2 linked regions of the Struthio camelus genome follow. The protein of the gene in region 1 purifies or fractionates together with the protein of each later gene. This does not show direct contact. Links are inferred from orthologs where the notes say so. Each region holds a gene or a part of one and is shown on either strand. Other genes may lie near its edges.

Region 1 (11,565 bases):
AGGGGCCAGAGCTACAGAAAGTGGTTGGAAATAGATTCCTCCTTCCCATCACTCTTGCACCACTGCCTATTACCCTAGCTCAGGATAGAAAAGCAGCACGTGGGAAAATGAAGAAAGCTTACTAAGGCAGGACAAGCACCGTTCCCAAAACGTGCCCAGCAAATACTTTCTGGAAGCCTGAAGAGTAACTTACCGCTATACTGACTTTCCCCAAGATCTCCTCAGGAATTCTCTTGGCTTCTTTCAACACTTGATCCAGAGAGCCGCCATCCTGAAACGACAAACAGAGAAATTATCAACACACCAAAGCCCAGCAGAAAAGCAGAGTAACTGGCCATGCAGTCTAGCATGCCTGCTGAGGTTAAGTGGTATATGAGCAGTATACAGCATCCCAGCCCAGCTGTCAGTAACAATTCGGCACCAAGAACCCTCCCATTAGGAGGGAAAAGATCTCTGATGATCTCTGTTAAAACTGGCTCTCACTGAAAACGATTTTAAAGCTGTCGTCTATCATCTCTACTTCTTGCTGTTAGCTTTTAGCATGCTTTCCCTTAGAGGTCAATGCAAAGATGATGCTGTCAGCACTGATCCAGAGGAGAAACAACACTCTTCCCTGCCAGAGACAACAGAAAACGCACACTGCACTTCGGGGAGTTCTGTAGAGTGGCAGGTTTACAACATTTCCGCTTGGCCGGCCCCCAAACCTCTGCTTCTGCTTTCCAGAAAGTCAACTTCTCTGTCATTTAGATGCCCAAGGAGGACCACGCAGCTTCTAGCAGGAGCTGAACGGCCTTGTTGCCCTCAAAGCAGCCAGAGCAAGAAGCCGTTGCAGCTGCCAGCTGAGAGCGCTAGCAGGCTTACCCACTTTGCCTGCAGTTTCAGTCTCGCTGAGATGCGACTCAGAACATGGAACCGGAGAGCAGCAGTTTGCAGGGGAGGAACACGGACTCACCATGTGCTCCATGCAGATGGAAATCTCCCCATCGCTGTAGAAGGCTCCATAGAAACCCACAATGTATGGGGAATTACACTCGTGCAGCACCTGCAGCTCCCGGATAATCTGATTCCTGATGGCTGGCTTGATTTCTAAATGAATCAGCTGCCAAGAAAGAAAAAAATAACATCAAAGTATAGTGCCTGGAAAAAAACTACGGGGCCATGAGAGCCTGTCCTCAGTGCCGGAAAGAAATTAAAAAGCACTCGAGGAAGCTCTGCTTTGACCTAGACTTTATTGTTTGCATGCTAAACATTAAGGATAAAGGGGACAACCAGCGTGCTGCGCAGCCTGTTAGCAACTGAAGCAACTGCAGGCCCAAGTAACATGCCGAGATCACACTGGCTACAGAGCAGAAAGATAACTCAGAAGTTGGGTGCAGATCTGACTCAGCACACAACATTTTCACAAGCTCTGTAGGTGTTGTAAGAATATAAGAGGTGTTCTGATATCAAAGAAACCACAGAAAGTAAAAAAACATGAAGATTATGCACTTGAAAGACCAACTGCATTATTCCTTGGGCTCCACGTAGAGTCAGCTAACAAAGTTGTGGGTAGGGAAGCCATAGAGGCTGGAAAACGTGACGCCAGGTTACAAAAGCAGCTACTGTTACTGTAAGCTCTAAGACCTCCCTCACCAGGGACTTCTGGCCTTCCTACAGGGCCACAAAGGCTGGTCTCTGCAGGGACGCACAGCACTGTGCTGCCTAACCTTGCCTTGAGCTTCAGTTTCTGAGCTGCAGTAATTTCAAAATCAGTTACATGTAATGCTCCCAAATCAAATGCCACAATGGAAAACCTCAGAGATGTCAGCTCCAAGGGAAGCTGCCTAAAGAAACATATTCGCTCTTGAGAACCACTGAACCTTGCCGTTACCTTGTAAACTGCTCCCACAGCAGCGAGAACAGAGACTTTCAAGGAAGTTGTCCCGTGGATTAGCGGTTGCGCTATTCCCTCACTGAGCATTGCCTTTTCTAACAGGCAGATAAAATATCTTCTCCTTTTCTATCACAGAGCATCACAACAAGAGATGACTCCCATAAACCCATGCTCGAGAGGCTCTGTTGTCATGACAGACTTGCAAGGCTGCTTGGAACTGTCTTGGGGATCAATTAAACGGAAGCTGGGGGGTGAGCCAGGCACACAAGACTTTCTCTTGTCTGTGCAGGAGCAGCTCAAAGCTCGGGCTTGCAGTAGGGGAGCTGCTGTGCTCACAGGGAATCCTTCTCTCTATAATTTCCACCAGGAATTTTCAGTCCTCATTAGCTACAACCTAAGACTCTCTGTTGCCTGTTTTCCCCATCCAGTTTAGCAGACGGAAAAAGAATAAACTCGCGTTTCCACAAAACACGTTGCAAAACCCCAGGGATCTGTTGCGGAGCGCGCTGCCCCTCCCCGGAGGGCCCACTGGTGAAGGGCGAAACGGCTGGATTGCTAAGAGACAAGGGGAGAGAGGCTACACACAAAACCCAGCTCAGGGCAGCAGGGACAGTCGTTACCAACCCAGGCGACGAGGTCTGTATGCAAATTTGTGGGGCTGAGCAGAGCCCATCTCACAAACACTACCTGGCTGCCAGGTTTGGCAAGAAGGTGCAGGAAACCAAATTCCCCTCCCTCTGTTACGCGCAACAGCCACCCCGGCTGACATCTCAAGGAGCCGCATCTATTCCCGGGGCAGGCAGGAGAGAATCGCCAGAGCAGACAACCAAGACGGATACCACTCAGTTCAGCGTGAGAACGGGTTAACGCAGAGAGATCCTGACCGAATCCGGCTTTCCTGGGGCTGGGATGAGCGCAATATGCCATTGCGCCTTACCTCTCCAGCAGGCCCCGGGCACCTGCCCCTCCGTTACCTTTCGTGCCATAATGAGTCCTGAGGGTTTGTGCTGCACTTTGGTGACCACGCCGCCGTTGCCGGCTCCCAGTTCAGAGATCCTCTCAAAGTCATCGTCCTTCAGCTCCCCGACCTTGGCTTTCTGGGTGAGAAAAGCTTCCAGGCGCTTCTTTTGCTGCTCATCCAGTTCCAATTCCTCGAGCTTCTTCTGAAGGTCTACTAGGTTCGCCCTGGAGAAAGACAAGGAGGAGAACGGAGAAACGGTCAGGAGTCTGCGGGGCCATCGCCAGAGAAAGGGGGCTTGTCCGGTCCTTTGCTCTAGCGGCAGAGGCAAAACGAAAGCACGGCTCACGACGGGTTAGAGAGGAGGGCCCAACCAGAGGGAAGAGACTCCCAAAACCGTTTAGTGGAAAACGTTTGACACTGCAGGGAAGGAGAGGGAAATAACAGAAAAGCCCCATCTTACGCGTAATCAGACCAAAACCGTGATATAGCAGAGAGACTAAAACAAAGCTCAGGAGAGACGCAAGGCTTGGCTACGCTGCTGATGGGGACGTGCGGGCAGCAGAGACCAGTGATGCAATGTCTGCCCAACACTTGCATCTCTTCCAGAGAGGTTTTTTAATACAGTCAGCTGTCTCAGGAAACCCCAAGGAGCGGGGAAAATCGTTCGGCCCTTAAAGGGGCAGCAGAGCTCAGCCCGGGGAGAGCGACAGCACCAGCGAGCAACCTCTCGCTCCGCAAGCGCAGGGAGCCGAGCTTGGGTTTCACGGCGAAACACGAGAAGGCCCTTTCCAGGCGTCCAGCAAATCCCCCTGCTCCGTTACACCCCCGGCCGCCCCTCCGCTCGCCCGAGCACAAAGGGATGTCTGTGCTCCCCCAGCACCTGCTGCCCGGGGCGCCCGGCGCGGGCCTACGCGCCTCCTAACCCGGCTCCAGCCTCCTCCTCCGCCCCAGAGCGGCGGGGGGGACCCGAGCCAGCAGGCTCGGAGCCCCACGGGCGGCTCTGCCCCCCCCCCCCCAAGCTTTCACCGCCCGGCAGCCCCCGACCCCAGTGCCGCATCCTGCTCCCCCTGAGCCCTAGTCGCTCCCCTCCCTCCCCCAAAACTGCCCCCGGCCCCCAGCCTGGCTTCCCTGTCCCCTGCCCTCTAGGACTAGCCCCCCACCCCACCTCGCCTCAGCCCCCCAACGCCGGCCAGCGCTGCCGGGACACCCCCCCCCCCTCCGGCTTTGCCCAGCTGCCCCCTGGTCCCCAGCCACCCTGGGGGCCCGGCCCCCTCCCCACCTCCTGCCTCCCGCCGGCTCTCCCACCCCGTCCCCAGGCCGGGCCCATCCTGCCGCCCGGGGCCGCGGCGGTGGCAGCGCCGTGACGGCGCAGACCGGCGGCGGCCGCCGCCCCACTCACTCACTCGGCGGAGCCGTCGGGGCTGGGCCCCTCGGCGGGGCTGGGGGCGATGTTGAGGGCCGGCAGCACCGGCTTCCTCTTGGCGGGCATGGCCGCGCCGGGCCGTGCGGGGCCTAGCGGGGGCGCGGCCGCATGGCCGCGGGGGCGCGCCAACGAGCGCGCGCGGGAGGGGATGGGGGCGGGGCCGAGCCGCGGGGGCGGGGCCGAGCCGCGGGCGGCGGCGGGAGGGGCGGGGCGGCGGCGTCTCGCGAGAGCGCGGGGCGGGTCTCGCGGGAGCGCGCGCCGGCGGGAGCGCGCGCGGGGGGGGGAGGTGGAGGAGGGGAGGGAAAGGGCGAGGGCGGAGGGAGGAGATGGCGGCGCGGGGTGAGGGAAGGAGGACGGAGGAGAGGGAGGGACGGGGAGAAGGCGGCGAAGGCCCGGGCAGGGGGACGGAGGGGGCTCCGGGAGGGCGACGGCGGCGGGGACGGACAACCCCAGCCGAAGGGACAAAGGCTGCAGAGCCAGGCAGAAGGGGGCCGTCGGGCAGCGGGCGTCACAGGGAAGGAGCGGGCGTCAGGCGTCGGGTCCTTCCCAGGCCTGCCCCGCCGGCCGCCCCGGCCCCCTCGGTCGCTCTCGGCGGCCCCGCGCGCCCAGCAAAGGCCGAGGGTAACGGTCGAGGGCCTTAACGAAGCGGGGCGGTTAGCAGCCTCGGCCGCTGCGGGCCGGCCTCGCCCTCACGCCTCCCGCCGCCGAGGAGCCGGCCGGCCTCGCCCGGCCGCGGCCCCGGGAGGCCGAAGAGAGGCCGGCGCCGGGGCCGGGATGGCGGCGGCTCCAGGCCGAGCCGCGCGCCCTTTGCTCGGGCGCCAGGGGGTTCCCGTCTCCGGCAGCAGGGCAATAAACGCGCGCGGCGGGGCCGGGAGCGGCGGCGTCACCGCGGGGGCGGAGGGGTAAAACCGCGGCCTCGCGCCCGGCCCGGCTCCCGTCGCCGCCAGGCCCCCGTTTTCCGCCCGGCTCTCCCCCTCCTCGCTGAGGGCGAAGGCTCTCGGCGTGGTGCCCGGGCTTCCAGGGACCCGCTGTGACACCTCCATCCCGGGGACGGGCACGGGGACGAGCCGCCTGGCCCCTGCTCGAGGGTCCCGCCGCGGCCGAGCCGGGCCGGCGCTGGGTGCCCCACCGGATCGGGCCGCCGTGCCTGATCAGAGGGCGTCGCGCAGCGAGATAACGGCCGCGGGCAGCGGGCGGGTGCCAGGCGCACGGCCTTGTCCTCGCCGTCCCGCTTGCCACACCTCGGTCACACGCTTTCTTACTCACCGGGGCTCCCGGTTCGCCGCTGGGCTGCCACACGGGGAGCTGCAAGAGGCCAAACCCTTCCCTTCCCCGCGCCGTGGCCCAGCTGCACTGCCTGGCCCAGCTCAGGCCGTGGCTGGCTCTTCCCTCCTCAAAGGTGTTTCTCCCCATGGAGAGGGGTCTCGGGGTGGGGTTATACCTACCGACGGAGAGCAGGATCGGACCATGAGTCTCCAAAATGCTGGTCTGGCAAGGCAATGAGGGAGCTCTGTGGCACAAAGGAGCTCTGGTGGCATCTAGGTGGGGGTCTGGAGGCCAAGTGGACCCAGTCTGGGTAAGGAAGGAGGATGCCCAGGCCCGTGTAAATCTGTGTCATGATGTTAAATCCCCCAAGGGGGCTGTCCGAGCGCAGGTGCCTTTCCGGGACGTCAGGCCCGGGGTTTTTTCCATCCCACTGGAGTTTGGGGTCATGGCGTGGAGGGTGCTGTGGCTGACGTGCCTCCGGGCTGACGCCCTCACCACAGGGAGAGGGAAACGTGGGAAAGCAGCAGCCAACAAACTCCAACCCTTAGCAGGGAAACTGAGGCACGGAGGGCAGGGGCTAGCCCTCGTGGGAGCACCGGCCTGGGTGGCAGCACCCAGGCGTCCAGCCCAGCAGCTCTCACCCTGGTCCCCGGGACCAGAAGGGGTCAACATTTGTTGAGCACAAGATAAGTAGCAGAGTCCAAGTCAACATTTTCCCCGGATGTTGTTCTCAACACCTATATAACGCAATTAATGCTGATACGCTGATCTAAAAAAAGGGAAATTGGGCCCGAAATGGGTGAAAGTTCATTGGCAGCTGCGGCAGCCGGGACTTTGCCCCACCAGCCCTGGCCCCTCCTGCCCCCCCTTAGCGGAGGAGGACAAAAACATTTAGCTAATGAATTACGGAGCGGCGCAGGTCCTTCCTGGCAGCCCGGCCATCACTCAGCGCTGATCCCCAATCAGGGCCCGGGTGATTTTGCAATCCTTGATGCTATTTCTGTGTGGTTGGAGTTTAAACTTTGCCACTTGGGTCAGGGCACCGCAGAGGAGGAGGAGGCTGGCTTCGGTGTCCGGCCCGCTCCCTCTGCGTGCCAAGGGGGTTCGAAGGACGGGACGGACCCACAGACCCTGCTCCGCTAGAGCTGGGATCTAGCACAGGTAGGTCCTGGCTGCCAGCACTCACCGCTGGGCACTCGAGCCGCTCCGTCAGCCCCGGGGCCGATGGGGCTTGCTGGCAGGAGAGAGCGAGCGTGACGAGGAGCGATGAACCCCCGTCCTGGGGACGGCTGGGCAAATGTCATGTTCCCAAACTGGGCTTGAAGGGCTCTTTGGGTGGGTGGTCAATAGGTTGGGAGGGTCAGAGGGGTGGTGGATTGGGTGGTTGGGTGGTAGTTTGATAATCGATTGGGTGGCCGGTTGGTCATTCGATCAGTCAGTTGGGCAGTTGGTTGGTCGGTCAGTCGGTCAGTAGGTTGGTTGATTGGTCAGTCAGTTAGTCAATCAATTGGCTGGCTGGCTGATTGGCCATTTGGTCTGTTGGTTGGTCAGTTGATTGATTCGGCTGGTTGACTAGTTGGGTGGGGTTGGTCAACTAGTTGGCCAGTTGGTCAGCCAGCTGGTTGGTCACCTGGTCCGTTGGCCAGCTGGTTGGGTCTGGGGTATCAAACCGTCCCTGATAACTGGCGCGTTCCTGGTAGACCAGGGCTGAGTCCCCTTCTCGGGGCCGGCCAACAGTAGCTGCCCCTGCCCCCACCATGTTAACCACCCAAAATGATTAACCTGATCTTCCCGAGCACGTCGCGCGTGGCGGATGGGTCTGTTGGGGAAGCTGAGCAGCACCCAGGCCTGGGTGCCCCTCGTCCTCCTGTTCCAGGGGTGCCGGGGCAAGTGTGTGCCCGTGGGGAGGGTCAGCCCTGGCTTTGCAGTTCTCTTGGGGGAAAAAACATAGGGAGTGGGAGTTTCAGCCACTGGAAGGGGGCAGAGGGAGGGACCCAGCTTCAGCAGAGCTACCCCTGGGCCCCCAAGTCTGTGCATGCACATGTGTGCCCGGCCATATACGTGCTCTGCCTCCCACACGTGCACATGCGGAGACCTGGGCTTGCCTGGATGCGCTCGCACACTCACAAATACGTGGGTACGTCTGTCCAGATATGCCCACAAGCACGCAGCTGCATGGCCGTGCACCGGCACATGGTCACACGCTTGCAGGTATGCACACATGCACGTGGCCCCACACACACACGTGTCAGCATGGTCACAGCCACCTACCTACACATCTGCCTGCTCCTACGCACGTGTCCACATAGTCACAACTGTGCGCACGTGTGTAGAGACATGTCCCCACAGTCTCACACACGTGTCCCTTGCACCAGCCCTGTGCCCATCCCACAATTCGGGGTGTCCTCGGGCGCCCCAGCCCTGGGGTCATGCCGTTCAGGGGAGGTGGCTGGGCCCTGGGGAGGAGGGCAGAGGCCAGCGGTGACCATGGGGCAGGGGGGACCGGGGCCGGTGGCCTGACCCTGCCGCCTCCCCAGCCATGGCCTCCAGCGTGGGCGGCCTCAACAGCCTCGACCTGCTGGACTTCCTCTTCGACCGCGAGGACGGGATCCTCCGCGGCATGGAGCTGCGGATGCCCGCGGGCCCCTGGCAGCAGGACGCGGTGAGTCCCGGTGGGGCGGCCTGCCTCGCACGAGAGCCCGAACCCTGGACCTTGCCAGATGGGTGCCCCGTGGAGACGGGTGCCCCGTGGGGACAGGTGCACCACGGTGACGGGCGCCCCTGTCCCTGCAGCGTGCCCAGGACAGCAAGGACTTCATCAGCTCCATCCTGGGCTCCGGGGACTCAGCATCGGACTCTCCCGGCTGGTCGCCAGCTGCCAGTGACAGCGGGGTCTCCGAGGACCCCCCCTCCGACCAGCTCGACAGCCCCCTGGGGTGCTGCGACGGGGGGCTCGGCGAGGCCTCCTACCCCTACTCCGACCCCGGCCAGCCCCTGCTCCTCCTGGGGGTGCCTGGGGCCCCGCGCCCCGAGGTCTCCATCGACCTGGGTGAGCTGTGGGGAGAGACCGGGCTGGGCACTGGGGGAGCTGGGGGCACTTAGGGGTACTGGAGGGGACTGGACAGGCTGGGGAGAACTGGCAGGTCTGGGGGACTGGGAAGAACTGGGGAACCGGGAGGAACTGGGCAGACTGGGATTAATGGGGGAGGAGCTGGAGGAGCTGGCCAGGAGTCCTGCACTGGGGTCGGGGGGGACACAAGACACGGCACTGCTGACAGCACCCGCTCTTCTCTTGCCCAGACATGTGGCACCCGGGCTTCTTCCTGGAGGAGAGCCAGGACCCACCTGCGGCCCCCGCGCCAGCATCCTGCACCCTCACCGTCAAGGACCTGCTGCTCTCAGGCAGCTCTGACCCCGTGAGTCCCTGTCCCCTTGTCCCCACCCCTTACCTTCCCTGAACCTTGGTCCCATCTCCATCCCTGTCGCCTGTTCAACCATGATCCCATCCTCATCCCTGAACTATGGTTCCATCCCCATCCCTGTCCCCATCACTGTCCCTGCTTGGCCATGGTCCCATCTCCATCCCTGTCGCCTGTTCAACCATGATCCCATCCTCATCCCTGAACCATGGACCCAACCCCATCCCTGTCCCCATCTCTGTCCCTTCCTGAACCATGGTCCCATCCATATCCACATCCCTCTCCCTGTACCCTCCTGGACCATGGTCCCATCCCCAACCCCAACTTTGCTGTTACCTCTGGGGCCTTGGTCCCTTGGAGGAGGGGGGTCCCTCGGCCCCCATGGTCCCTCGGGGTGGGTGCGGGGTAACCCCGCACCCTGGGGACATCACCAGTCCATGGCCCTGCAGCAGCTGCCGGTGCCCAGCTCCCTGCTGCGGCAGAGCCAGGGGCAGTGCCAGGAGCTGGTGCTGACGGAGGACGAGAAGAAGCTGCTGGCGAAGGAGGGGGTGTCCCTGCCCACGCAGCTGCCCCTCACCAAGGTGGGTCCCACAGCAGCCGGGCGCAGGGCGTGGGCACTGCGGCCACTGGGGTCCCCAGCCACCCTGACCCCTGTCTCCCCCAGTATGAGGAGCGGGTGCTGAAGAAGATCCGGAGGAAGATCCGGAACAAGCAGTCGGCTCAGGAGAGCCGCAAGAAGAAAAAGGAGTATATCGACGGGCTGGAGAGCCGGTATGGCCCCCCCCCAACCCCTGAACCTGGCCTGTTCCCGGGGTGGCTGCACCCCAATCCCCTGGGCTGGCATCCACATCCTGCCCCAGGCACCCATGGGTGCACCCGGCAGTGGTGCCCCAAGCTGGGTGGTGCTGGGGTCTGGGCCATCGCCTCCTTACCCCATCTCCCTCTCCCCGTCTCCCAGGATGTCGGCGTGCACGGCCCAGAACCAGGAGCTGCAGAGGAAGGTCCTGCACCTGGAGAAGCAGAACTCGTAGGTGCCCCACAGGGGACAAGGGGCAGACAGGGACACAAGGGGCACAACGGGGACATGGGGATCACGATGTGACCGTGGGGGGTGAGAACCCCCCCCCCAGGCAAGCTCTGCGGGGGGCAGGAGGGGCTCGGAGGAGAGTCCCAGCCCAGCTTGACCTCGGGGTGCTGATGAGGTCTCCCTGTCCCCAGGTCCCTCCTGGAGCAGCTGAAGAAGCTCCAGGCCCTCGTGGTGCAGTCGACCAACAAGGCAGCGCAGACAGGCACCTGCATCACAGTGCGTTGACCCCTCGCTTCCTCAGCTGTGGACCCCAAAACCCCTGGCCCCAACTTCTCCAGCCTCCCCTCAGGCCCCAAAACCCCTCTATGGCCACCCTGCTTGGAGGGAGGGAAGGAGGAAAGAAAGGAGGGCTGCAGGGATGGATGGAGGTGTGTGGCAGCAGTGTGCAAGGAGGGAGGGAGGGGTAGATAAAGCCATGCAAGGACAGACGGATGGAAGAAGGGTCGGAGGTGTGCTAGGGTGGAGGGACAGATGCTCCGAGGATGGATGGAGGGGATAGAGTGTGATGGGATGGAGGAACAGAGGGACACAAGAGTGGATGGATGGAAGAGGGGATGGAGGTGTGCTAGGGTAGAAGCACATGAGGATAGATGGAGGAAGGGATGAACAGAGGCGTGCTGGCAGGGGCACGTGGGCAGGGAGGGATGGTGGGACACAGACCTGGCTCTGTTGTGAGCCGTGTCCCAGAGTCTGACCCCCTCCACACGGTGACGTCCCCCTCTGCCCTCAGGTCCTGCTGCTCTCCTTTGCGCTCATCGTCTTCCCCTCCGTCAGCCCCTTCGCCTCCAGCAAGGCTGAGCCAGACGGCGACTTCGGGCCGGTGCGAGGTGAGGAGGGCTGGGAGGGCGGCGCGTTGGCGTGTGGGGCACTGGAGCAGGCCCTGACCCTCCTTCGTGTGCAGTTTTCTCCAGGTCCCTGCATAACGCGGCGGCCTCACGCGTGGCCTACATGCAGCCCCAGCCCGGGGACGAGAAGCCCCCAGAGCCGCTGTGGCCAGAGCGCCCGGGTGAAGCCCCCGAGATCCTGCACAAAGCCTTCGGCAGCCACACGTCCCCCCCGCACCCGGACAGAGCCTCCCCCCGCAACAGCACGCAGCCGCTCACCCCACCAGTACTGAGCCATGGTGATGGGGACGGGGATGGCACCATGCCAGGGGACGGTGCCACACCACCGCTCACCTGGACCAAGGCTGGCCACAGCAGGCCAATGGTGCTGGAGGCAGCTGAGGAGCTTTAAGCAGCACCTAGGACCATGGGGGACAGTGGGGTGGCTTAGCACCTCATCCCCTATGGGACAGGCCCTCAAAGCGGCCCTGCTGGCGTCCCCACTCCAGGCGTGGGCAGAGGCTGGACCCATTTGGCTTTGCTCTTATCTGTGAGCTGGGAAGGGGCAACTGGTTCCCACTGGCCTTGCTGGGAGGGAAGGGGCTGTCCTCAGCCCCCCTGGGGGCAGCAGCAGTTGTGGGAGATGCAGGGTCCCCCAGGATGGGGACAAGGGGACATCAACATTGCAAGTTGTTAGTTTTGTTCTTTTTTT
Region 2 (10,690 bases), on another chromosome or scaffold:
ACTTGACAAAGCCCTCTTGTGGAACATGAGCAGGCTTTTTCCACCACCGCATACTCCTCTCCCTTCCCCCCCCCCCTTGCCAGACTGGGAGTTATTGGGGGATTCCCCCCCCCCCCACCCCACTCTTATGAAATTGAGCCAAATAATATGCCTATTTTGCTAGAGATAAAGCAAACCTGGGGGAGCTTTGCTTGCAGGAATAGGCGTGACTGTCTGAGGGGACTAGCAGTAGCTCACCTGCAGCAGTGCTTTGAGGTAAAGCTGCCTAATTATTTTGATTATCCCATGTTGTTTTGTTAACCAAATATTTGTCTTTCTGCCTCACACACACAACTAACACCAATATACAAATTGCTCAACGGGATTATGCCAGCATGAGTCAATCTTGGGTGTGTTTATCCATGGAGAGACATAAGCCTGTGTTTCTAGAAGCGGGTGTATCTTATTCTCGTTAGACCTATGAACATATTCTGCCAACAAAATTTGTCACTTTTCACTTGGCACGTTTACTGCTAATACAAGCATTGCAGACTGGCAGGCCTCCAAGTGGGGTGGGGGATAAGTCCTCTGCGGCTATCATTATTTAGTATTTATATTACAACAGAATTTAGAGGCTTCTAGCTGAGATTCAGGCCTTGCTGTGAAAGGCACTTCCTGCCCCAAGCAGTTTATAGTCTAAACAGAAGAGACTAGTGATAAACAGCAGGGAAAAGGCAGTATTATTGCAACACAGTAAATGTTAAAGAAAGCCTACCAAAAATGAGATTTTTCTAAAAATAAATATTGACATCTTTTTAATTTATTTTATAGACTATTAAAATTTGTCTTTTCAAGCTTTCTTAATCCTTAAAGCTTTTGTTTGCTGTAACAGCAGAGATTCTTGCTTACTCACATGACTCCAGGAGGTGAGGTCTTTTAAGATCGACACATCATCTCAATGGTCCTTCTTCTAGGCCTGCTTCAAAATTCCTTTCTTCTGGCCTGCCTACACAAAACATTGGCCACAGCTAAGCAGCTAGTTTCTTACATCCTCCCATTTGAGGAGCAAGAATTGTTTCTCTTGTATTGCGCAAGCACAACAGTTTTCCCCTTACCCATGCAAATATTTTTAAGAATAGTAGCAGTTTTTAATTTTCGTTCTCCTCCTCCATTATTCTGAGTCTACAATTCAAAGTTTCCTTTTTCTATTCAAGGTCTCATTGGTAAATGCTATTACCAATATTGAGAATTTGCTGTTCCATCCCTGATTTCTGACTCAAACATCTTAACTTGCAGAAGACCCTATTAAATTCCTGGGTTCTCTGATGACAGGTGATACAAAGGAGGGAAAAATAAGCTGATAGAAAGAAGTGGGTGTTTTGCCTGCCCAACTGGGCCTCTAATGTAATTAGTGCATTAAGCTCACAAAAGGGGCAGCTGTGCAGAAAAAGAGAAAAAAAAAGCTGGTCTGAAAAAGTGGAAGTGGACCTATCCTACCATTTTCTTAAAGGTACAGGACCAAATCTTAAACGGATACAAAATGGTTTGGCTCAATTGCAGGCAATGGAGACACTTAAGCTGAGAAAAACAGGAAGAATTTGTTCTGTGGCCACCGTCTCACCATCTTCACTTTCTCTGTATATCCTAAAAAGAATATCCAGTAGCATGTCTAAAAATAGGACTGAAGTTTCTCAACTTCACAGTAGACAAGTATGCCAAAACTACTGTGTACTATTGTGCTGTGCTGAAATGAGAAAGGAATACTCATACTGTCTGTGTAGGAGGAAGCCTTTGAGGGGAAGATCATCGATAATAAAGGCCTCTTTTATCTGAAACACCTAACATTTCAGCTCTTCAAATCCCAACAGTGCATTTTCTTAAAACAGGTTTCTATTATCTGTGTTAAACACATCAAATTGAGTAATTCAGTATCATCATCTAAATTCAGTGTTGTGATAGCTGAATGAAATTGGGGCAAGCTAGCTAAAAAGGTAATAGAAGCCTTTCTTAAAAGCAGCATGTGAAATGCATCAGTGCTTTTCTTTCTTTGAGGAGGAAAGAAAAAAAAGAAAAAAAAAAGTCTCTGCTTTTCTCCAGTGTGCTTATGTTACTGAGCTGAAGACTCTTGATATGGTCTATAGGGCAGGACTTGCTAGAGGCGATTAGTGAGATTAGGGCTTTATTATGGTAGTTAGCAAAGGAAAATCCTTGTCCCGGAGAACTTAGTCTCTGTGGACAAGGTGGGGGAGGGGGGAGGGAATCCTTTCAATTCTTAGATCAGTGGCTGAAGCAAGCATTTAGCAGTTCTCTCTGACCTGGTTTAGGCGTTCAACAGTCTATTGTTGTTTTCAAAACTATTGTTTTTCTACATGCAAAAAAGGCTACTGCATTCTTCCCATCTGAATGACATATACCATGTGCTTGTGGCTCCTCCGACTCAGGAAAAAAAAAAATTGTTTTCCTCTAGAGAATGCAGTTCTTAGCTCTACTACACACACAGTACAACCAAGAAAAGTTCTAACAAGTGTGTGTCAATAAATGTATGTATGATACATGGCATAAAAATGTTATTTTCCTAAATCTCTGGGCAAAACACAGCTCATTCAGAGTGCTCATAGGGCAGCTCTAGCACTGACCAACCACTGTATTTCTCTCTTCAAGCCCTCTGAGAAAGCAATGTGTTGTTAGCACCTTTTTTATAGACAACTGAGATTCCAGACAAATTATCCAAGACCACACGTGAAGTCTGTGGTGAAACAGGAACCTGAGCTCGGTTGCCAATAGACATGCTTTCCTCCCATTTTTTTCTGTATTTTTATTTTCAGCGCAAAGACTATGACAAATCACAACAGGGTCAACATGGTAGAATATTTGCATTGTCTATACAAGGTGCAAGATGTGGGGAAATACTGCTCAGTAGGCTCAAGAAGCAAACGGAGTTGAAATCATTTTTTTCCCCCCTTGCTCTGAGTTGCGTTCTCCAATACACAGTCTCAAAACTGGCCTCACATAAAACACAGTGTGTATAAGAAATTAACTGAAGGCCCCAAAATATGCGTGTGTGTGTGAACAGGGGGATGGAATTTGCATCCCACCATGTAAGTAGTATATGGGGATGCTCTGTTATGACTCCTTTTGTGGGGCTGGAATAAGGGATACGCTCCTGTGGAATACTGCTGGCTACATCCATGAAATTAGGAAAATTACACTCCCTCTCCCCCTCCATCTTCACAAACATCTGCTCCTGGTATCTCAATATCGTGTCTCTTCAGTGCTCACCCTGTATGACGCAGGCTGCAACTCTGTGGGACACCCAAGGTTGCAGTCCTGTGCTAACAACTGTGGGGTTCACCTCGGCATGAGACAATGGTTTCCCTGTGGTTTAGTGTGTGTAGCTCTGTGCCTCTCCTTTCACCCTTGCTACTGGAGTCAAAATAGCCAGCCAGTAAGAGAATAGCTCACTTGTGTGTTATCTGCTTCCACAGTGAATGTGACAGCCTCATGAACACGTGAGCAATGCTGAGTAGGAACATGAACGCAGGGAGCTTGCAGAATGTTTAGTCAGCACATTTTTCCATTTCAGCCTGGAGAGTAGTCTCGTATGCCGGGGGCTGGAATGCTGCCCGCTTATGGTAGCCAGTTAATTAGGCCGACACTCCGCATGTGATACACCACCCCTCGTTGAGAATGCCAAATGTCTTGTGATGCACAGTCCACTCTTTTCCTAGTTTGCTTTCTTATGCAACAAACCTGGTTTGTCCTCTATTAGCAAATGAATGTTCCCAGGTAGATAGATAGAGGATGTCTACGAGAATAATATCCCTGTAATAATATTTGCCCATTCCACAGTCACCTGCATTTGAGGACTTCAGTGTGGCAGACTATCAGAAATTTGCAGTGATCCTGGGGGGAAAAAGGGGGGATTGCAGATCTTTTTATAAGGTTGGGAAAATGGAGGTAATAATAAGTAAAACAAGTAAGTGACTTTCCCGAAACCACAGAACTCATTAGTTGGCAAACTAAGTAAACCCTAAACCAAGGAAGGCCTTACAACGTGTATGAAATTTACAGTATGTGAATAACAACAATGAAATAAAATACTTTGCTTGATCTACGTGCTTAAGGAAATTACAAAACAGCATATGGCCCTCTACTTGGGGCACGTGCAGCCAAACTAACATGGATACCAGTATCCATCTAACCATGAGAAAGCAGCTCAGTGTCAACTAATTTACCCTGCTCCAGTGGAGACCAGTTACACTGTACATATGCCTCATATCCCGTAATCATATTTCCCCCACTTTTTTGCATAAAACTCACTTCTGTGAGTTTGTGTGTATTGCCACATGTGGCTTAGATGTCATTTTTTGACTTTAAAACCTGGTATCAATTCAGCCCTAATTAAGCAGTTGCTCTTCTGCTGTCAGCAGCATGCAACTGAATTGTCTTTCTGAATCCTTTGCTGCAGATAAGTAAATCTGGTAACAGTTAGGAAATGTATTATTAGTGCATTGACATCTCATACAGTGTGCTAATAAACTGCAGTTCAGGGTGACTATCAGGATATAAAATCAAATGCATCTATAATGTAGTTACCTGTAGCTTTTTTTTTTTTTCCTGATGTTTCTGTTGTGAAATTTGAAGCCACTGAGGTTCCAGGATACCATAATAAAGTTCCTTCCTCTTCATGATACGAATGAACCCACATGACTACTGCACTGCAGTGTTTATATTCACTAAAAGATGTTTATAATAATGCCCACTTCACATACTAGACCTGCACTTATTCTTTACTGAGTAAGTGTTTATGTCAAATAAGACACATAGCATCGATTTATAGGACATTTGGGAAAGGCTATTTTAGACAAACTCTCCACAGACCCTAATAAGCAACTCAGATAAGGCTAATTCTTGGTTTGTTTCGGTGTAATTCCACAGACATCACTAGTATTGGTTAAACTGTAACTCTCGGATTTCACGCCACACCACAGGCAGGTCTGGCCTTCCCGCAGCCGGCTGCCCCATTAGGACAGGCGCCCTGCGAGGGCAGGGAAACAGCACCGCCCTTTCCACACGGGTTTTAACCCACGTCCGGGCCCCAGCTGCCTCTGCCCCCTGTGCAGGCATGGGGACGGGCTCACCTCGCTGCGCTGCGCTCTGCTCCCTCCAGGGCCGGGCCCACACAGCTCCCTTGCGGCCTCACACCTCCCCGGGGGCGGCCGCAGCGGGGCTGACTGCTGGGGGGCCGAGCTGCAAGTCTCGACATGGCGGGGGCCATGGGGGCTGGGGGCGGTGGTAACAAAGCTGTGGCGGGTGCTGAGGGAGCAGTGCTGGCAAGGCTGTGGCAGGCACTGAGGGTGGCAAGGCTAGAGCAGGTGCTGTGGTGGGCGCTGAAGGAGGGGGCACTGAGGGGCTGTGACAGGCACTGAGAGAGGGGCGCTAACGAGGCCACAGTGGGTGCAGAGGGGGGTGGTGGCGAGGCTGTGGCAGGGGCTGAAGGAGCCTCCTGCGGGCGCTGAGGGGCTGTGGCGGGTGCTGAGGGAGGGGGCGCTAACGAGGCTGTGGCGGGTGCTGAAGGGCGGGCGCTGAGGGAGGGGCGCTAACGAGGCTGTGGCGGGTGCTGAAGGGCGGGCGCTGAGGGAGGGGGTGGTGGCGAGGCTGTGGCGGGCACTGAGGGAGGGGGCGCTAACGAGGCTGTGGCGGGCGCTGAGGGGGGCGGTGGCGAAGCTGTGGCGGGTGCTGAGGGAGGGGCACTAATGAGGCTGCGGTGGGTGCTGAAGGGCGGGCGCTGAGGGGGGCGGTGGCGAGGCTGTGGCGGGTGCTGAGGGAGGGGCACTAATGAGGCTGCGGTGGGTGCTGAAGGGCGGGCGCTGAGGGGGGCGGTGGCGAGGCTGTGGCGGGTGCTGAGGGAGGGGCACTAATGAGGCTGCGGTGGGTGCTGAAGGGCGGGCGCTGAGGGGGGCGGTGGCGAGGCTGTGGCGGGTGCTGAGGGAGGGGCACTAATGAGGCTGCGGTGGGTGCTGAAGGGCGGGCGCTGAGGGGGGCGGTGGCGAGGCTGTGGCGGGTGCTGAGGGAGGGGCACTAATGAGGCTGCGGTGGGTGCTGAAGGGCGGGCGCTGAGGGGGGCGGTGGCGAGGCTGTGGTGGGTGCTGAGGGAGGGGCACTAATGAGGCTGCGGTGGGTGCTGAAGGGCGGGCGCTGAGGGGGGCGGTGGCGAGGCTGTGGCGGGTGCTGAGGGAGGGGCACTAATGAGGCTGTGGCGGGCGCTGAGGGAGGGGGCGCTAACGAGGCTGTGGCGGGCGCTGAGGGAGGGGGCGCTAACGAGGCTGTGGCGGGCGCTGAGGGGCCGAGGCGGGCGGCTGCGGCAGGCTCTGAGGGGGACCCGGGCGGGCGCTGAGGGGGCGTGCGGAGGAGCCGCCCGCGCCCCCTCGCGGAGCGCCCGCCGCCTGCGCGGGGCGGCCGCGCCCGCGGTGGCTCGCCGGCGTGCATGTTAATGCGCGGCAACTGCTCGGGGAGGCGGAGCGGAGCGAACCGCCGCCCGCCCGCTCGCCTGCCTTCCCCCTCTTCCCCCCCCGCCGCCGCCGCCTCTCCTCGCCGGCCTCCCTGATGCCGAGGAATGGATAGAGCGGCTGCCCTGCGAGCCGCCGGCATGCTGGAGAGGAAGGAGCGGAGCGGCGGCGAGGCGGCGGCCCGGGCGGGCGCGGCGGGGCCGGGGCCGGCCGTGCGGGGCTTGCCGGCCGTGCGGAGCACGCTGCAGCAGTGCGGGCTGCTCCAGGACCTCATCGACATCTCGCTGTCCAACCTGCGCGGGCTGCGCACGAAGTGCGCCGCGTCCAACGACCTCACGCAGCAGGAGATCCGCACCCTAGAGGTACGGGGCCCGGCAGCCGCGGCTCGAGGCCTGCCCCCCGCCGCCGGGGCCTGCCCGCCCCCTCCCCGCCCGGCCCCGGCGCCCTCTCCCCTCAGCAGCGGCAGCGGGAAGCGCCGCCGGGCCGCGCCGCCTCGCCGGTGCGTGGCCCCTTCCTCCGCCGCGGGGAGCGGGAGGGAGGCCCCCCGCCGCCCTGTCAGCCGGGGTCGCCTGGGCCCGGCCCTCTCGGGGCATCCGCGGCCCCAGATCCTTGCCCTGCAACACGGCCCCGAAGCGGCGCCCTGCGGAGGGGGTTGAGGTGAAGGGGGGGGGCGCCCGAGAAGGGGCAGGCCCGTGGGGAGGGCCTGGGGCCCGCATCCCGCGGCTGGCGGGCAAATTTGGGGTGCGGCAGGGCTGTCGGAGGAGTCTGCATTGAGGGAGAGCTGCATTTGCCTCGCGTGTCCGTGCCCGCTGCCCCCCATCCGGCTGCGCAGCCCCGGCGCTGCTGGCCAGTGGCTGGTCTCTGCGTTTCATCCTCTGCAGAGGTGGATGCGAGGCAGGGCAGAGAGCAGAGATGAGCGCAGGCTCCCTGGCAGGAGCTGGGACACTGCATCTGTTGTCCACAGACAGCTGGAGATACCTTCTCCCACTGGTCCTGCTCTTTGGTGTTTGCTTCTAATGGCTCCTGCCCTGTACTTCCAGGCCTGTCTTTCTATTCCTGGCTCAGTTTCACTGATCTAATTTGATCCTCCTTTTTGCTCCGTCGGGGTGGCTGACAGCAGCACCACAGCCCAGGCTGGAGAGATGTTCCGCTGCTTAGAGAGGTTGTAGGAAACTCCTGATGCACAGAGCATGATGCTTTCAAACAAGGACCAAGTCTGTACAGACACACTCAAGTCTGCCTAAGTATTGAGAAGGAGAATTTGGATTTGTTTTTGTTTGCTTCTTCTGACCTTTAGAAACTGAAATAACATTTTCTTTTACCTTGTATGCAGGTGATATTGCTCTAAGTATGGTAGACAACTCCTAACCCTCATCCTTGACCAGAAGTTTCATATAAAGGCTAATGGCCCTTTTCTCTAGTGCGATAGTAGGGGCTGTAGAGCTAGACCATCAGACCTTTAAGAAGAAGCATCATTACAACAGAATAACTGTAACAAACAGATATTCTGTGAAATCATCACATGAGAAATTTGGAAAAAAAAAACCTGTAAAAACAATAGGTGGTAGCTCTTGGCACAATCTCTTAGAAACCTGTCATTTTTCCTTCTCCCTTCCCCTGCATTTTTTTTAACTGATAGTACTCTTTTCTTCCTCTTGCCACCTCCAAATAGCCTTCAAAAAGTAAGAGAAAACACTGCTATTCTTTATAAAACAACATTTGTGCAGACTTTTTGCAATCCTAGTAACTGCTTTTTCAATACCCAAACAATAACAATCAGCATCATTTTGGAAAATCATCAGTAGTACTTTGCTCGTGGCCCATTCTAAAAGGAAATCTTTATTTACAAGGGATAAAGGCGTGCTATGGTCTTCCGATTCTTCTTAAGGCAACAAAAACTTTCTAGTGATAGTTGTCTAGTCTATGCACACATTCTTCTTAAACATTTAACTGCGTAAACAAATGGGTGCCACATTCACTGGTGGTGAAATATTTCTCTCTGATGCACTGTCTGCTATATGATTTCTCTGGGAATTCAACCAAATGCTAAATCTTTGCCAACATGTGAAGCTACAGGCATGAGGATGGACTTGATGGACTCTGCCCTTTACTCTGTTTGGTTACCTCTACCAAAATATGTGCTGTCAAGGAGTCTTGAGCTCAACAACTGTCTGTGTCTGAAGTAGATTTGTCTACAGCCACAGAGCAGAGAATTAAACCGTAGGAGATGAGGGTCTGTGTTTACTTCTGTAAGTTGTAATTTCCCAGAGAGACGCCCAGACTGCGGTAGGCTGCATTGCTATCTCGAATAGCAGGTGGTCTGCCTGTGGCACTACACAACGCAACTATTGTGCCTTGGTTAGCGTGACAGAAATGCATGCATGTTTGGTCATAGACATTTGCATATCAGATCAAGTTGGCACAGACAGATGCTCCAGTATTGCACAGATCCAGTGCTACTGGTGATCTGACTGCAGTGCAGTTATTGCACAGACTGTAGGTAAGTCCTCACTAGTCCGTAATTTTAACCAAAAGCTTGGACTTTGAAGTCTGAAGATTTCTAATGTCTGCTGCCATTCTCTGGGTGGCCTTGACGAGTCACTGAATGACTTTGTGGATCGTGGTTAGTGGCTACTAGTGGTATGGTTGCTGGGCCTGCAAGCCCCATCTGTACTTCAGATTTGAATCCATAAGTGTTTTTTGTTCTTGTGTGGAAACTTTTTCATGGAAAAAGAGTTATGAAAAAACTTAGCTGAAACAGTATAACATAAACTGTAGCAAAGCCACAAGGATATGATAAAACATGAGATAGATACAAGAAGCAAACTGGAAACAGGAAGTACTAGTTTAGGAAGAGAGGGGACTTGACCTTGGAAGTTGAAGTAGGCCACTACTCAGTAGGCTCCTGAGGCCAAATATGAGGCTGCATGTATGTGTTCTGAAGGCAGTCCAATATATTAGGTCAAAAGTCAGCCCTTTTTTTTTTTTTTTTTTTTTTAATTTGAAGGAACAAAAAAGTGGGGGAGTGTCCATGATGCACTTTCTTTATAGCTCATAGGTTTGCAAAAGTTTTGTGATGCCTAGTTTTTGGTGTCAGCACTGTGAACCTACAGGTGGAGGGATACCTCCTTGAAGGGAAACTTATATCTCAGTGAGCCATAGGCATTCTGACTGCCTGTGTGTGAGGGTGAATACTGTCAGGTGTACATGGCTGTTTAAACTTTAGAGCAACACAGATCAGACTGCAGTGTGTGCTGTTTACCACTTCTAGTCCCACAGTTAGCAAAGCCCTGAAGTAAAGTTCTGAAAGCAGTTTTAGACACTAAACACCAGTGAAAATTAATCTTAATTTCTGTGTTATTTTATTTTTACCTTAAACTACTAGTTGGTCCTTTTGGTACCTCTTCCTTCTGAGTCTGTTCACAACTCGATGTATATATTACAATATACATCGCATGATTCATAGTATGCGTGTTTCAAAGTCAAGAACATCAACCTAAGCAAAGGTAATTCAGTGTCTGCTTATGTTCCTTCCAATTTATTGAAATGCATTCTGCTTAAGTGTGTGTATATGCTCTTCCCAAACTAAAGCACATGGTGGATAAGGATGTCAAACTGGGACTTTGATAAGTAAAAATAAGCATATATACTCATTTTAGCTCTAATGATTGCAGGGAGAACTTTCTGTAATGCAGAAAGAAGAGGAGGGAATACAGGCCTGTGGGAATTGCTTGCAAATAACTTGCTGAGGGTAGATATGTTACATGAGCTGGCCCTGTTTCATGTGTAGTAAGGCTGTTTCTTAGAAGGGTAGGGAGTTTCCCTGCAATGCAAAGTAGACTCTGTTAGTTTGGTTATTAACAGAGCAGGTTCTCTGATACCACAAGGTCTTGTATTTTTTAATTTTTATATGTTCTGCTGAATAAGTGCTTGAGTGTTTTTCTTTTTACCCAGCATTTCAGTATATGGCTTACTTTCAGTTCTGTCATAGCAGGTTTACTCACTTCTCAAGTAGGCTTCAAAATTGAAATGGAAAATAATGGTAATCTTAAACCATACCTCAGAGAGAAAAAACGTCTTGCGGTGTGGCGAGCACCAATACTCCTCCATGCATCCTTGGAAAGAAGCAACTCTTGACAGTTTTTAACTCTATCCCTATGCTAATCCCTTGCACAACTTGTAAATTGTCTTAGCACAGTTAT

What was found.
Region 2: the proteins of MAP2K2 (region 1) and KSR1 purify together in Homo sapiens (affinity purification with mass spectrometry; 4 studies listed by BioGRID and IntAct, with this or other methods). This does not show direct contact. The link is inferred for Struthio camelus from reciprocal best matches to the Homo sapiens genes MAP2K2 and KSR1.

The regions. Positions count from the first base shown.
Region 1 is NC_090967.1:4,357,636-4,369,200, forward strand, and holds the start of MAP2K2 (dual specificity mitogen-activated protein kinase kinase 2), read right to left. Parts: upstream 4,427-11,565; 5' UTR 4,324-4,426; coding exon 4,238-4,323; intron 3,059-4,237; coding exon 2,848-3,058; intron 1,100-2,847; coding exon 953-1,099; intron 272-952; coding exon 194-271; intron 1-193. Other genes in the region: CREB3L3 (cyclic AMP-responsive element-binding protein 3-like protein 3), read left to right, coding at 8,063-8,185, 8,317-8,572, 8,824-8,939, 9,392-9,523, 9,607-9,713, 9,901-9,969, 10,161-10,245, 10,760-10,856 and 1 more. UniProt on the Homo sapiens protein: Catalyzes the concomitant phosphorylation of a threonine and a tyrosine residue in a Thr-Glu-Tyr sequence located in MAP kinases. Activates the ERK1 and ERK2 MAP kinases.
Region 2 is NC_090957.1:21,167,303-21,177,992, forward strand, and holds the start of KSR1 (kinase suppressor of Ras 1), read left to right. Parts: upstream 1-6,455; 5' UTR 6,456-6,595; coding exon 6,596-6,850; intron 6,851-10,690.